Linked DNA regions of Anolis sagrei. The protein of the gene in region 2 interacts with the protein of the main gene of each other region in a pairwise test. Links are inferred from orthologs where the notes say so. Each region holds a gene or a part of one and is shown on either strand. Other genes may lie near its edges.

Region 1 (8,388 bases), about 23 Mb from region 2:
AAGTGAGTGCATTATATGAACTTACGATTTGGAGCAGAGATTATATATATTTTACATGATATTTTGGAAACGGTTGATATTTTTAGATTTTTTTTTTTGCAATGAAAAAAGAACAGTGTTCTTTAAAATATGGGCATGCTGTAGAAGATTTAACCACTCAGTAGGCTAACAACCTCTAAATAGCTATTAACCCGCTCAGAAACTACCATCTTCAACGTCTTGATGGTGGAACTGGTTTACAAGTAGGCATGGTCTCAAAATAAAGTGTACACCATTATCGAACAAGAATAGACTGCATACATTTTTTCTACTAAAGGATATTACCCTTGTGTATTTCTGAACTCTGAAAGGGCCTATTTTGATGGTAATGACTCGCCCTCTCTCCCACTTCTAGACCCGCTATATGTCATCATTGCCGGATCCACCACCACCACACTGAGGAAGTGGTTTTTCTCTCTCCATTTCCTGAAGACAAGGCAGTTTACAGAAACAACAGACAGCTCTAGAATTCTTTCCTTCTGCATCGTTGTTGTTTCACTGTCGAACTTCTCCGGTCACTTCTATTCATGGAAGATGAAGTAAAAATGCGAAGACCAACAAAACATAACAAAAACCTTCATTCTTGTGAAGATGTACTTGGCTTCTTGCCCAGTGGATTGGCTTTAATTTTATTTCCAAACTATTGCAAGACAGTGAGTACCTTAAATATGGAAATGTCTCCTCCAGCCAGTTGCTCACTAAAGGCACTGGTCAATAAATCCCTTTATTTGCTACCAGCATGTTGGCATGATAGGAAATCACACATCTTGAAGGCACCAGATTAGAGAAATGTAGAGGCTGAGGGCCTTTCGACACAGCCATATAACCCAGAAAAATCCCACAATATCTGGTTTGAGCTGGGTTATCTGAGGGCCCTTCCACACAGCCATATAATCCAGAATATCAAGGCAGAAAATCCCACAATATCTGTTTGGAACTGGGTTATCTGAGTCCACCCTGCCATAAATTCCAGTTCAAAGCAGATAATGTGGGGTTCTATTCAGCTGTGTGGAAGGAACCTGAGATATCTGAACAAGAAAGAAAGGCAGGGGTTGTCTGCAGATGAGAAATGGTGGGGGAAGACCTATTCGTGGGAGAGACTGTGCCTACGAAAGGCCACATTAATCCTTACCACAAGTCCCCAGCCACCCAACACGTTCCAATTTTTTTAAGCTGGGTGAACATGGCCTCCATGCATTTGAGGAGAAAGTATTTTGCAGGAGCTGAATAGATCATGTGCCCAGGCAAACAAATGTCAGAACTTAACTATTGCTTGAAACAACAAAACTGTATTTTACAAAATCATCTATTATTTTAGCAAGCCATATTCTAGGCAAAACAATGAAGTCTGGACTCTGCTGATTGTCATTGTTCCCTATAGATTTTTCAATTTGATCCATTTCCCATCAAGTGCTGGTTTATGAATTTACAAAGCATCAGTGCCACTTCTTTTACCATTTTCCTCTTCTAATTTTTTAGCAGCCAATAAACAGTTGCTTGTCAGGTTTGTTAAGATGCAACATTATTTTTTGCATAGAGGATCCTCCAAAAAGATCAACGATCTTGATGCATTTTGGGGAGTTAAATTCTATCGTATCTCTCGGCATTTGAACTCCCCCCCCCCCCCTTACTGATCAAACACATTTTCTAACATCTCCTTGTTTATCCTCTGATTGACAGTGACAGGAAAGTCAGGCTCTAAGGCAGTGTTTCTCAACCTGGGGGTCGGGAACCCTGGGAGGGTCATGAGGGAGGTTTCAAAGGGATCGCCAAAGACCATCAGAAAACACAGCATTTTTTGTTGGCAATGGGGGTTCTGTGTGGAAAGTTTGGCCCAGTTCTATAATTGGTGGAATTCTGAATGCTCTTTGAATGTAGGCGAACCTTGACATTTGGAAGTTGTAGGTGAATTCCAGCAACTACAACTCCCAAATGTCAAGATCTATTTTCCCCAAACTCCACCAGTGTTCACATTTGGGCATATCGAGTATTTGTGCCTAGTTTGGTCCAGATCCACCTGTTTGAATACACAGTGCCCTCTGGATGTAGGTGAACTACAACTCCCAAACTCAAGATCAATGTCGACAAACCCTTCCAGTATTTTCTGTTGGTCATGGGATCATGGGAGTTCTGTGTGCCAAGTCTGGTTCGATTCCATAGTTGGTGTTCAGAATGCTCTTTGATTATAGGTTAACTATAAAATCCAGCAACCACAACTCCCAAATAACAAAATCAATCCCCCCTCCAACCCCACCAATATTCAAATTTGGGCATATCGAGTATTTGTGCCAAATTTGGTGCAGTGAATGAAAATACATTCTGCATATCAGATATTTCCATTACAATGCAATGAAAATAATTTTATGGTTGGGGGTCACCACAACATGAGGAACTGTATTAAGGGGTCATGGCATTCGAAAGATTGAGAACCACTGCTCTAAGGAAGGTACTTGCCCATAACCATGAGTCCTTCTACTCCTGTGCCAGACTGAATGCTCGAATCACTTAGATCCCCCAAATTTGTCCAAGAAATCCAGTCGACCACCTCCCCCTGCTCCTCCCTCTGCCCCAGACAGATTTCTGAATTCTGTTTGCAGTTTTTCTATCCGAGAACAAAGCCAGAATTACCGTGCATTTCCTGCCCAGGAGTTCAAACACTTGTTGGTTCTCATGGTCCTGGAGCAGGTTAGATGGTGTATTTTCCTGCTGTGTCCTGGCTCCTGGTTTGGGCCTCCGGCTCATCTTGGGCCCCGTTAAAGACGACTCTGGATGATCTCACCCAGAGCGAACTTCCGTCTTGCAAGGCCTTTTCTCTTTACAACAGGAAGTTCGGAAACCACCAGGCCACAGAGACAAGAGAGAAAGAGACTCCCCATCTTGCTTCATGAGAGTCCTGGAGTAAGTCCTTCCTGAGCATGGCTGAGTTACCAACAGGCCGAGAGTGGGCCAGAATGAAGGAGACACCTCAAACAAATGATTCTGCTCTGAGAAACAACAATTAGCTCAGAGTTCACTCCTATGGCACCTCAGATTCAGTACATATATTTTTGAAGCTTGTGAAAATAGGTATGACTGTTGTTCAGTTCCCAAAAACATATTTTAAGGGCAGGGTTTATTCTGAACTCAGCACTAAAGATTTCTACCCACCTTGGACTTGGCAGGGGAATACAAAAGTTTCCAAGTATCATGTTGCATCTTTGAGACTGAGAGAGAGAAAAAAATACTAGAACCAGCTTTTGTGGACTCAAGTTTGCTTCATTAGATGCAATGGAAAGGATTAGCATTGCATCTAATGGTAATGGTAACTATTTGCATCTAATTGCATCTAATAGTTACAATGGAATGGCAGTGTGTGTGTTAGTTGCATGACAAACAGCAAATGTTAAGGGAACATTCAACCACAAAAACCTTGTGGTAGTTGCCCAGAATACCACTCTGCTTTTCTAGCACTAAAGCTTTGATCACAGCCTTTTAACATATATCCTCTTCCAAATGTTGCTTTGAGGATCAGATTTCAAATCCTATTTGCCCTGTTTTCTTTCATTCAAAGTTATCTTGAATGAAAGTTGGGGCAGAAACATGAGGTGAGCATCAAAGATGTGGACTATTCTTGGTGTTATGGATTAAAAAATACTTTCTCCTGCTCTTGAATCTGGTCCTGCCATTGCCCAAAAAGAATTATTCTTAACTGGCTGAATTCAATTAGAATGAACTTCCTGGCAGACTTTTTGTATGTCGTTACTTCTTAACGTTTTTATGATGAGCCACCTCCCATCTTGGAAAGAGGGGGGAGAAAAAGGAAGGTTCTTTATTTTTAAAAATGCATTTGCCAAAGTCCACACATAAAAGATATTAAAAAATCAATGCAAAAATCCTAAGAAAAAACCTGAAACTATGCTGTTTGCACTCTGGAGGTTTAATGAGATTTTGGTGTTTAAAACAGCACAGGCAAGTGTCCCAAACACAAAAATAGGTTTAATTAGGTGGGAAGTTGTAAAATTGAGTCCATGCCTATGAGACTGAGATAGAAAACTAGCAGTAGAGACATACTTCTGGGATTCTTTCCTGGATTAGAAATGAACTGGTACATGGCCTCATCAGACTGGCATGCCCATGCTTGTATGTTCTGCCCAGGTACCTATTTAATAGATGCAGGAGAATATTTAGCCCGCAGAAGAGAAGGCTGAGAGGAGACATGATGAGGGCCATGTAAAAATATGTGAAGGGAATTCACAGAGAGGAAGGAGCAGGCTTGTTTTCTGCTGCCCGGGAGACTAGGCCACAGAATAATGGCTTCAAACTACAGGAAAGGAGATTCCACCTGAATATGAGGAAGAACTTCCTAACTGTGAGATCTGTTCATCAGTGGAACTCTCTGCTCCAGAGTGTGCTGGAGGCTCCTTCTTTGGAGGCTTTTACACAGATGCTGGATGACTTTCAGGGGCGCTTTGAATGCAATTTCCTGCTTCTTGGCAGGGGGGTTGGACTGGATGGCCCACATGGTCTCTTCCAACTCTATGAATCAAGGAGGATGGTGAGCCTATTTAGGAATGAATTTATTTGCTAATATTGCATCTCACTAACTTTTAATTTGGTCCCTTGATTATATTTGGATCACGCCCAACTCAGTATTTCTGGCTATGGGCTTAGGAAGGAAAAATGGTGAAGAACACTTTCTCTTTCACAAACAGAACTTTCTCTCTCATATAAGACACAGAGCCAATGAAGACTAAATGTGTTCATTGGTTGGGATAAAAAGACACAATGCAAGGAAGCATTCCCCCCACCTTCTGTTTTTCTGGCAAACATTGCAGCAAACACTTATCACACACGCACATGTCGAAGTATGTATGCTTGTAAAACAAAGACTGTTGCTAGGTGAAATGGCCCTCTATGATTTCACTGGACTGGCTGTTGCTAGGTTAGGTGATCCCCTGTGATGTCTCTGAGAGAGGAAGTTGACATGTGTATGAGGGGGAGGAAGGAAATGGTAGCCTGCACAATGGTAGCCTGCCTACCACTGCTTGAGTGTTGCCATGAAGAAGTTGCAAAGAAGGCCTTATCAGAGCTGGAGAAGGGAGAAAGAAGGTAAGCAGTGGTCCCAACGACGCTCAAGCAACATCAGGTATACAGTGTTCCCTCACTTACTGCTAGTGTTACATTCCAGGACCACCCGCAATAAGTGAAAATCCGCAAAGTAGGGACACTCCGCCCACTCCTCTCTCCCTCAGTTCAAGTGGTGCCAAGGTTTCCTGAGCATGTGCAGTGTGCTTCCTCATTGCGTGTCTAATCATCTTCCTTCTTGAAACATGGCCCCACTGGAGTCTCTCCCTCCCTCCCTCCCTTCCTGGCGCTCACCCGGGGCCGGAGGATGTGGTGGCCTTGATGGGCCGCTTGCTGTAGCACTTGTGGGTCGGGCTTGAGAAGGAGGACGAGGAGGAAGCAGCAGCAGCAAAGAGGCAGAAGCGGAGGGGCCAGAGTCAGAGTGCCACCAATGAAATGAATGGAAAGGGCAAGTAAAAGATATGGAGACAGGTCTCAACTTAAAAGGAATGGAGACAGGTCTCAATGTAGACAGTAAAAGGAATGAAGACAGGCTGGAGGAAAAGAGGGAGGACTGAAGAAAAACCCGCGAAACAGCGAGTCTGCGATAAGCAAACTACGAAATAGCGAGGGAACACTGTATACACTAGTATTTACATACAATTGAGCATATAGCCATATATGTAATTAAAAGAGCTGTAGCAACATTATATTGTTTTCCTATACATCTGATTGATGGTATTATAAGCATTAAAAACAAACAAAAGACATTATCCATGGCATGATTGTTTCTCCTGAAAGTCAACAGTTTTATTGCATTCCAAAATTAAACAAATACCGTGTCCTTGCATCCATTTTCACATTTTGAATCTGATTCCCTCCTCCCTTAAACATGAAACCTGCTCCGACCCCAACCAGAATCAAGAGCTGTTAAGTCTCTATGGGAAGAAATCCTGAGGTTTCCAGAGAGAGAATGGAAAAGGGTAATGGCAACCTGCAGTCACCCAAACACCATGTGAGGAAGAGGAATTGTAGTGAGACACAAACACCCTGTGAAAATGAAGAGAAATGTAAACCTGGATGGGTCGGCCACACAGACAGGAGCCACCCCAGACATTTGTCACAAAAGCTGAAAGTAACCAATTAAGCAAGGTTGTTAAATATAATCAGTTGTCTCAATGTATCAAGAATATAACAAAATTACGTTTTAACCCTAAAAGCAAAATATTGTTGTAAAAAGTAACAGTTTCTAATTATTTTCAAGTTAACGCATTTCAAGAGGCATTTTGACAGGACGGTTTGAAGTTTTATGCTTCTCTCTTATTGGTGAGGAGAGTTTCGCCGCCTCCCCCTTATAAAGTAACAAAAAATACTGGAAATGAAATGAGAAAAGTAGGAAATGCAATTTTCCATCAACATTATAGAATAATATAATGATGAGTGATTGCAATGGGTTACTTTTTAGCCACTGTAATGACTTAACAAAACAAATCACTTTCCAAATTAACTTTTCCAGCATTTCAAAAACAAAAGCAAAATATTATTGTCAAAGGTAACTGTTTCCAATTATTTTTAAATTACCGTATTTGAAGAGGTGTTTTGACAGGACATGCTGAAGTTTTGTCCCCTTTTATTATCAATCTGGAGGATTTGCCCACCCCTTTATACAACAACAGAAAGTACTGGAAAAGCAATCATAATGCAATGTAACAATTTAACTGTCTCATCATCATGATGGGCTACTACAACAGATGAATTGAGCAGGAACAACACAGCATATGTCCCAATGTAAAAAGGTGGACCATATTACGTGAACAAGGATTTCCATCCGATTCAGACTACTGACAGTTTTAGGGAAGGATGCAACCATTGCAGAAATGTAAATGCAATGTATTTCTGGAGTTCCAAAGAACTTCATATTTTTGCCATTTCAAATATACATATATAATACACTTAGCAAAGCTGCTGGAGCCCCTGATGGCGCAGTGGGTTAAACCATTGTGCCGGCAGGACTGAAGACTGACAGGTTGTAGGTTCGAATCTAGGGAGAGCGCGAATGAGCTCCCTTTATCAGCTCCAGCTCCCCATGCGGGGACATGAGAGAAGCCTCCCACAAGGATGGTAAAACATCAAAATATCCGGGCGTCCCCTGGGCAACATCCTTGCAGATGGCCAATTCTCTCACACGAGAAGCGACTTGCAGTTTCTCAAGTTGTTCCTGACATGACAAAATAATAATAATAAAATAAAAAAGCAAAGCTGCTAGTCCTGGGGTGAGCAATATGCGTTCTTTGGATATTGTTGGACCTACAATCCATGAAATCCCTCAGCATTGACAATCCCAGTAAGGATTGAAAGAACCTCTGGTCCATCACTTTGAAGGCTGTGCACTGCCCACCTTGTGCTAGCAGACCAAGTAATTTGGCCCAAACAAGAAACAGGTATACTATGAAACATTTCAAGTAAAAGCAATGTGTGCTGTGCTGCTGAATAATGACTAATATGACATGATTAACACAGCCCTTTTCATCCTGTAATGCATACCATCCAGATATCTGTTGGGACTACAACTCCCACCATCACTAAAAATTTGGTTTTGTTTTTCCCCAGAAGGTAAAAGCCAAATTAACTGGTTCAATTGAGAAATACTAAACATTATGAAGGGCCTCCAGAAAGTATGAGCTATTTGATAGTGGAGCAGACTGCCTCAGACTTTGCTTCAGGAGATATGGGGTGACCACTGCGGCTGTACAGGCCATACTATAATGAAATAGCAACACATTTTTAGCACTTGGCAAAGGATATTTCCAATTCCAATAACTTAAAATGGACACCCACCATTCTAAGTTAACAAATCACGACTTATTGCAACAGTGCCAAAGAATGTTTAACAGCTGGAGAAAACTAGGTGGTGTGTTGATGCAATAGTACTGGTAATAATACAGCGACCTATATGGAAGCCATGACGAGTTTGGGATATCGGTATAAAAAGGGGCAAGAGAACAAGACTAAAGAACTAGAGTTGCAAAAAGAGAAGAGAAGCCAATGGGTACCAGAGTTGGGAAGGTTGCAAACCTAGAAAGTCACGCTGGCACAGATCCTGATCAGATTTGCAAAGGGAACTTATTGAAGATGGGACTCTGTGCCAATTCCTCTATTCTCTTCACTTGATCCTTCAGTGTGTTAAAGCAACCCAAGCCATTTTAGTACTTGAGGTAGAAAATCCGAATGACATCTCCTTTCCATCCTCAATGGTGGAAAATAAAGATTGTAATTGGCAATTTTTTGCCATGAAACTGTCTAAGG
Region 2 (8,293 bases):
AATTACACTGCTTAGCCGGTATTACACCACCTGACATCCGTCGGGAAGTAGCAGCCAATAGTGAAAGGACCAAGGCAGAGACATCTCCAGCTCTTCCCTTGTTTGGGCATCAGCCAGCACGCCAACAACTTAAATCAAGAAATAGTTTTCTAAGATCTACAAAAACACTTGCTCGAACACCTCAGCAAGCGAGAGTCCAAAAGTGGCAGGCTCAAACCCAGAGCCTCAATCAATGGCTGATACACAATGAGAGACTCACCCCTGGAAACACAGAAAACTGGCCGACTTGAAAGGCGCTGAACAAACTGTGCTCTGGCACCATGAGATGCAGAGCCAACCTTAAGAAATGGGGCTACAAAGTGGAATCCACAACGTGCGAGTGTGGAGAAGAGCAAACTACAGACCACCTGCTGCAATGCAACCTGAGCCCTGCCACATGCACAATGGAGGACCTTCTTGCGGTAACACCAGAAGCACTCCAAGTGGCCAGATACTGGTCAAAGGACATTTAAACAACTACCAAGCTTGCAAACTCTGTCTTTTGTATATTTGTTTGTTCTGTCAAAAATGTAATACTCGTGTTGCCTGACACGATAAATAAATAAAATAAATCTCCCCGATGTGGACTCGGAGCGGCTTACATGGGGCCAAGCCCGGACAACATAATACAGCAATGAAATCAAAGCATATACAAGAGACAACAACAACATTATCAAAATGACATTAAAATAATAATAATAATAATAATAATATAAATAAATAAATAATACACATATTCCCTTTACAAGCAGATTGCATATCCCATCAAGTGAGGTGGGAAGGCCACGAATTGGAAGTGGAGCCCACCTATGCCCTCTCGAAAAGAAAAAAGGCACATGGGGGGCAGAGAAAGGAAGGAGAGAGAAGACAGCGAGCCAAGGACAGAAATGCATTCAGGAGAAGCTCCTACACTGTAGAACGGATGCAGTTTGGCACCACTTTGAACTGCCATAGCTCCATCTGAAGAGGTGTCCTTTGGTGAGGCACCAGTATGGTAGAGAAGGCAAAATACTTGATAAATCTCAACTCCCATGATTCCATAGCACGCAGCAATGGCCTTTCAAGTGGTGCCAAACTGGCTCAAGGCTACAGAACCCCGGGAGTTGCAGTTCAACCAGGTCTTCAGCCTTCGCTGACAAAGTGTGCTGATTCCTCATCAAACTACACCTCTCTTGATCCCGTAGCATGGAACCATGGCAGTTGAATGTGTGTGAAAGTGCATTCATTCTGCAGGAAGGGAGGGAGGGAGGGAGGGAAGAAGGGAAGGAAGGAAGGGAGAGAAGGAAGGGAAGGAAGGAGGAAAAGAAGAAGGAAAGAGGGAAGGAAGGTGGAGGGAGGAAGAGAGGAAGGAAGAAAGAAGGAAAGAATGAAGGACAGAAGGAAGGAAGGAAGGAAGGAAGGAAGGAAGGAAGGAAGGAAGGAAGGAAAGGAGGTGAGGAAGGAAGGTGAAAGAGTGAGGAAGGGGAGGAGGAAGAAGAAAGGAAGGAAAGGAAGGCAAAGAAGAAAGGAAAGAAGGAAGGGAAGGAAGTGAGGAAGGAAGGTGAAAGAGAGGGGGGAAGAGAGGAAGGAAAGAAGGCAGGAAGGAAGGCAAGAAGGGAGAAGGGAGGAAGAGAGGAAGGAAGGAAGGCAGGCAGGCAAAGAAGAAAGGAAAGAAGGAAAGGAAGGAAGGGTGAGGAAGGAAGGTGAAGGAGAGGGAGAGGGAGAGAGGAAGGAAAGAAAGAAGGGAGGGAGAAGGGAAGGAGAGAGGAAGGAAGGAGGGCAAAGAAGAAAGGAAAACAGGAAGGAAGGGAACGAAGTGAGGAAGGAAGGTGAAGGAGAGGGGGAGGGAAAGAGGAAGGAAAGAAAGAAAAGGAGGGAAGGAGGCGGGAAGGAGAGAGGAAGGAAGCCAAAGAAGAAAGGAAAAAAGGAAGGAAGGGAAGGAAGTGAGGAAGGAAGGTGAAGGAGAGAGGGAGGGAGAGAGGAAGTCAGGAAGGCAGGCAGGCAGGCAGGCAGGCAGGCAAGGAAGGAAGGAAGGAAGGAAGGAAGGAAGGAAGGAAGGAAAGGTGAGGAAGGAAGGTGAAGGAGAGGGGGAGGAAGAGAGGAAGGAAAGAAAGAAGGAAGGAAGGAAAGAAGGGAGGGAGAGAGGAAGGAAGGAAGGAAAAGAAGAAAGGAAAAAAGGGAGGAAGGGTGAGGAAGGAGAGGGGGAGGGAGAGAGGAAGGAAAGAAAGAAAGAAGGAAGGAAAGAAGGGAGGGAGAGAGGAAGGAAGGCAAAGAAGAAAGGAAAAAAGGAAGGAAGGGAAGGGTGAGGAAGGAAGATGAAGTAGAGGGAGAGAGGAAGGAAAGAAAGAAGGAAGGAAGGAAGGAGGAGGAAGGAAAGTGAAGGAGAAGGAATGAGAGAGGAAGGAAAGAAGGAAGGAAGGAAGAAAAGGAAAGAAGGAAGGAAGGAGGTGAGGAAGGAAGGAAAGAAAGAAAAAAGGAAGGAAGGAGGTAAGGAAGGAAGGGAAGAGGGAGGGAAGGAAAGCGGGAAGGAAGGGAGAGAAGGGGGAAAGGAAAGAGAGCGAGGGAGAGAGAGAAGAGGGCGAGCCAAGGACCGGGGAGGAAGAGGAGCATTTGGGGCGGAGTGGGGAAGGGAACTCGAACAAATCCGTGCCTGGGAAAAGCCAAAGCTTTGAAGGCAAGAGCAGGGCGCCTGGCGAGGGCTTGCTCAAGAACCTGGGCGAGGGAGGCGAGGCAGAGTGGCTGGAAGGAAGCCGAGGGAAGAGGGCCAAAGTCTGGGGGTGGCGGGGGGGGAGCGGGGCGAGGGCGCTGGGCGCAGAGCCCCCCCCAGAGCAGGGGAGCAGGGAGCCCGCCCAAAGGAAGCTTACCCATAGCTCCGTGCCCCAGTCCATGCTGGCAGCAGCCGCGTCCTCCCGAAGCCCCAGCCGCTTCCACCGCCCTCCCGAGAAGGAGTCCCACTCACTCCCGGGGCCCCACCAGCTCCGCCGCCTGCCCCGGACACGCCCCGAGCGGCGGCCTTAAAGGCGCAGGCAGGCCCGAGCCGGGGCTGCCTTGCCTGGCCAAGGGGAGGCCCTCCCTCAATCTCTCCCTCCCTCCCTTCCCTTTCCCAAGAGGAGAGCCATGCCAATGGAGGGGGCTCCGTCCTTGGGGAGGCAACTTCCAAACTCTCCTTCTCTCTTCCTTTCAAAGCTCAGCACCACCACTTGGGCTCATTGGGAATCAACAGTCTCTTTGGGGGAGCCTGGATCCTTGGGCTTCAAAGCCTGTTGAAAGGTGGTGGTGGGGGGAGCTATTCATGACCAGAATCACTGGGTTGTTGTCAGTTTTCCGGGCTCTCTTGCCACCTTCCAGAAGCATTCTCTCCTGACGTTTCGCCCACATCTATGGCAGGCATCCTCAGAGGTTGTGAGGTTTGCTGGAAACTAGGCAAGGGAGGTTTCTATATCTGGGAAGACCTGGCCCTTGAGCATTCCAACTGGAGGTCAGCTGTGACCAACAGTGCTGTGGAATTCAAAGAGACACAAATAGAGGGCGAAAAAGAGAAGTGTGCTAAGAGGAAGAAGGCATGTCAAGCAAGCAGAGGTAATTTTCAACGGTAAGCAAACAGTATTTTGCCCCCCCCCCCCCCACAACCAATCTTCTATATAAATAAAAATATAATGTTAGTTCGTGCTGCCATCAGAACTCAAAAACCACTGGGGGAATTGTCACCAAATTTGGACACAAGACACCTAAGAGTCCAATTTATGTCCTTCACTCAAAAAAAATTGATTTCGTCATTTGGGAATTGTCGTTGCTGGGATTTATAGTTCACCTATATAAATAAAAATGTAATGTTCGTTTGTGGGATTAACATAACTCAAAAACCACTGGATGAATTGACACCATATTTGGACACAAGACACCTAACAACCCAATGCATATCCTTCACTAAAAAAAATTGATTTTGTCATTTGGGAGTTGTAGTTGCTGGGATTTATAGTTCACCAGCAATCAAAGAGCCTTCTGAATCCCACCAACGATGGAATTGAACCAAACTTGACACACAAGACTCCCATGACCAACAGAAAAAACTGGAAAGGTTTGGTGGACATTGACCTTGAGTTTGGGAATTATAGTTCACCCACATCCAGAGAGTACTGTGGACTCAAACATTGATGGATCTGGACCAAACTTGGCACGAATATTCCATATGCCCAAATATGAGGGAATAGACCTTGACATTTGGGAGTTGTAGTTGCTGGGATTTATAGTTTACCTACAATCAAAGAGCATTCTGAACTCCACCAATAATGGAATTGGGCCAAACTTAGCACACAAGACTCCCATGACCAACAGAAAAAACTGGAAAGGTTTGGTGGACATTGACCTTGAGTTTGGGAATTATAGTTCACCCACATCCAGAGAGCACTGTGGACTCAAACAATGATGGATCTGGACCAAACTTGGCACGAATATTCCATATGCCCAAATATGAACACAGATGGAGTTTGTGAGAAATAGACCTTCACTTTTGGGAGTTGTAGTTACTGTGATTTATAGTTCACCTACAATCAGAGAGCATGCTGAACCCCACCAATGAGAGAATTGGAGCAAACCTCCCACACAGAACCCCCATACTTAAGGCCACCCAGTCCAATTCCCATCACCAGGGCAAGAAAAGCTCTCCTGACAAAGAGCCATCCAGCCACAGATATTGATAGATATATATGATTCACATACACTCAAATATAGTATTATAATTTGGAAGTGACCTCTAAAGAAGGGCAATTATATGTTGCATGTTCCAGAGCAGGCAAACCAGACAATCTCCACATCAACATTGACAAAGAAACAACAAGAAATACTGTTTACCCACAAGCTTAAATATATTAGAAACCAACACTTTCACATTACTTTATTTTCCAGACTGGGCCACAGCAACACGTGGCAGGGGACAGCTAGTCAACAATAAATTAAACACATGTAGACTAAAATACATAAAAGTCAGTTCATCAAGATAAAATCATGTCCAACTCAGTCCACATATGTGGTTGACTGCACTGAAATGACCCCAAATTACTTTACTCTAATCATCATGAGGAGGGCGACTAAAATGATCAAGGATCTGGAGAACAAGCCCTATGAGGAGCAGCTTAAGGAGTTGGGCATGTTTAGCCTGAAGAAGAGAAGGCTGAGAGGAGATATGATAGCCATATATAAATATGTGAGAGGAAGCCACAGGGAAGGTCAGGAGGGAGGGAGCAGAACTGATCTCAATCGGGAGAGAGTTTCATAGCCCAGGGGCCACCCCATAAAAGGCCCTGTCTCTCATTCCCACCAGACGCAACTGCGAGGGTGGTGGGACTGAGAGCAGGGCCCCTCCAGAAGATCTGAACAGCCTTGATGATTCATAGGGGAGAATATGTTCAGATAGGTAAACTGGGCCGGAGCCATATAGGGTTTTGTAGATTAAAACCAGCACTTTGAATTGTGCTCAGAAGCTAATTGGCAGACAGTGGAACTGGTGCAACAGAGGAGTTGTGCGCTCCCTGTACCCTATTCCTGTTAGAATCACAGAATCATAGAATCAAAGAGTTGGAAGAGACCTCATGGGCCACCCAGTCCAACCCCCTGCCAAGAAGCAGGAATATTGCATTCAAATCATCCCTGACAGATGGCCATCCAGCCTCTGTTTAAAAGCTTCCAGAGAAGGAACCTCCACCACACTCCGGGGCAGAGAGTTCCACTGCTGAATGGCTCTCGCAGTCAGAAGGTTCTTCCTCATGTTCACATGGAATCTCCTTTCTTGTAGTTTGAAGCCATTGTTTCACGTCCTAGTCTCCAAGGAAGCAGTAAACAAGCTTGCTCCCTCCTCCCTGTGGCTTCCTCTCACATATTTATACATGGCTATCATATCTCTTTTCATCCTTCTCTTCTTCAGGCTAAACATGCCCAGCTCCTTAAGCCGCTCCTCATAGGGCTGGTTCTCCAGACCCTTGATCATTTTAGTTGCCCTCCTCTGGACACATTCCAGCTTGTCAATATCTCTCTTGAATTGTGTTGCCCAGAATTGGACACAATATTCCAGGTGTGGCCTAACCAAAGCAGAATAGAGAGGTTGCATGACTTCCCTATATCTAGACACTATGCTCCTATTGATGCAGGCCAAAATCCCATTGGCTTTTTTTGCCGCCACATCACATTGTTGGCTCATGTTTAACTTGTTGTCCACGAGGACTCCAAGATCTTTTTCACACATACTGCTCTCGAGCCAGGCATCGTCCCCCATTCTGTATCTTTGCATTTCGTTTTGCCTTCCAAAGTGGAGTATCTTGCATTTGTCACTGTTGAACTTCATTTTGTTAGTTTTGGCCAATCATCTCTCTAATCTGTCAAGATGGTTTTGAATTCTGCTCCTGTCCTCTGGAGTATTGGCTATCCCTCCCAATTTAGTGTCGTCTGCAGTCTTTTTTTTTTTTTTTTTTTAATTAATTTTTTATTAAATTTTTTAAATGAACATAGAAAGACAATAGAAAACAATACAGGTCATTCAACCGCACTATGACATTCATAATCCACATTGATCCTATCTAGCTAACTACCTAACATAGATCCTCTAGTACAAAAAACATACGATACAATACAAACATATTTAAAAACAAGTGGCTTGCTGCCACTATTGGACCTCCATCTCTCTCTACTACTGCATTTCTGTATAAAATTTCTCTCTTGCTATTCGTACATTAGTCTTGTATGTTTTCTTTGTCCTAAGGAGCCCTATCTTATCTTACTATAACTTCTTACTTAGGCATACATAAATGTTTCTTCTCGCATATCGAAAGAGTTCTATACATTTCCATTATATTTTCTATCGCTTAACTTTCCTGTGGTTGTTGCTATTTCTAAGCTATTTCAATTCCTCGTAGTCTCCTGTATAAGTCCTGTGTCTTGTTTTTATTTGTAGATATTAAACTGTTAGCAGATTTATCTTTTTTCCCCGAAGCCATTCTCTGACCGGGGTCCAGTTCGTTGGAGATATAGGCATGTTGCGTGAGGCTGACAGGATATACGTTAGATGGTCTGCGTTCATTATATCTAGTATTTTCTCTATCCACTCTTCCTCCGTTGGTAATGTCTTTTGTCTCCAGACCTTGGCCAGTAATAAGCGGGCTGCCGTTATTAGGTGGATGAACAATTTTTCTACCCCTTTGTCCCCCATCCCTCCTGTTAGTCCTAACAGGAAGCATTCCGGTCTAAAAGGGATATTTTTCTTTATTATTTGTTGGCACTTCTCGTGTATTAGTTTCCAAAAGTTGTTAATTCTCACACAGGACCACCACATGTGTCTATAAGTCCCTTTCTGTTCTCCACATTTCCAACATGTATAGCACATCTGTTTGGAAAACTTCGCTATCTTAGCTGGGGTTAAATACCACTGATGCGTCATTTTCACCCAGTGTTCTTTCAGATAGTAGGAATAGGAATAGTTTGTTTTACTGTTCCATACTAGACTCCACTCCTCTAAAGAGATGGATCGCCCTATTAATCTAGCCCAGTTTATCATATATTCTTTAACGCGTTCTCCCTCCGTAGACCATTCTAGTAATATCTTGTATGCTTTTGTGATATATTTTTTAGGGGAGTCCAGGAGCCTATCCCAAGCTGTCGGGTTTTCCATAAAGCCTAGTTGGTTGTCTTTTTTAAAGTGTTCTTTCAACTGCCAATGTTGTAACCAGGTGATGTTGTTATACTGCGTTTTTAGTTCATCCTGAGTCTTAATCCTAATTTCCTTTCTTTCCCTGAGTAGTAGATCTTTATATGTGGGCCATAAGCCCCATCCCAGTTCTCTCCTTTGGTGAGCCTCGAGAGGGGAGACCCAGAGCGGTGTCTTGGGGTACATCCTATCTTTGTATTGGTCCCAGACCTTTAGTAGAGCCGATCGGATAAAGTGGTTACGAAAGTTCTTTTCCACTTTTGCTTTGTTGTGCCATAAGTAGGCATGCCACCCAGTTCTTAGGTCGTGGCCTTCTAGAGTTAGTAATTTTTTGTTCTTTAATAATATCCAATCTTTGATCCACTCTAAGCAGCTTGCTTCAAAATATAATTTTAAATTTGGCAGTCCCAATCCTCCTCTTCTTCTTTCATCTGTCAGGTTTGTCATGTTAATTCTAGGTTTTTTGTTATTCCACACAAACCTTGAGATGTCCTTGTTCCAATCCGTAAATAACTGCTTCTTTCTAATTATGGGGAGGTTTTGAAACAAGTGCAACATCTTGGGAAGGATGTTGGATTTTAC

Evidence for each region.
Region 1: the proteins of TRIP10 (region 2) and WAS interact in a two-hybrid assay, tested with the Homo sapiens proteins (2 studies listed by BioGRID). The link is inferred for Anolis sagrei from reciprocal best matches to the Homo sapiens genes TRIP10 and WAS.

Annotation. Positions count from the first base shown.
Region 1 is NC_090022.1:194,030,969-194,039,356, reverse strand, and holds the start of WAS (actin nucleation-promoting factor WAS), read right to left. Parts: upstream 3,056-8,388; 5' UTR 2,782-3,055; coding exon 2,668-2,781; intron 1-2,667. UniProt on the Homo sapiens protein: Effector protein for Rho-type GTPases that regulates actin filament reorganization via its interaction with the Arp2/3 complex. Important for efficient actin polymerization. Possible regulator of lymphocyte and platelet function.
Region 2 is NC_090022.1:171,013,327-171,021,619, reverse strand, and holds the start of TRIP10 (cdc42-interacting protein 4), read right to left. Parts: upstream 3,033-8,293; 5' UTR 2,907-3,032; coding exon 2,883-2,906; intron 1-2,882. UniProt on the Homo sapiens protein: Required for translocation of GLUT4 to the plasma membrane in response to insulin signaling. Required to coordinate membrane tubulation with reorganization of the actin cytoskeleton during endocytosis.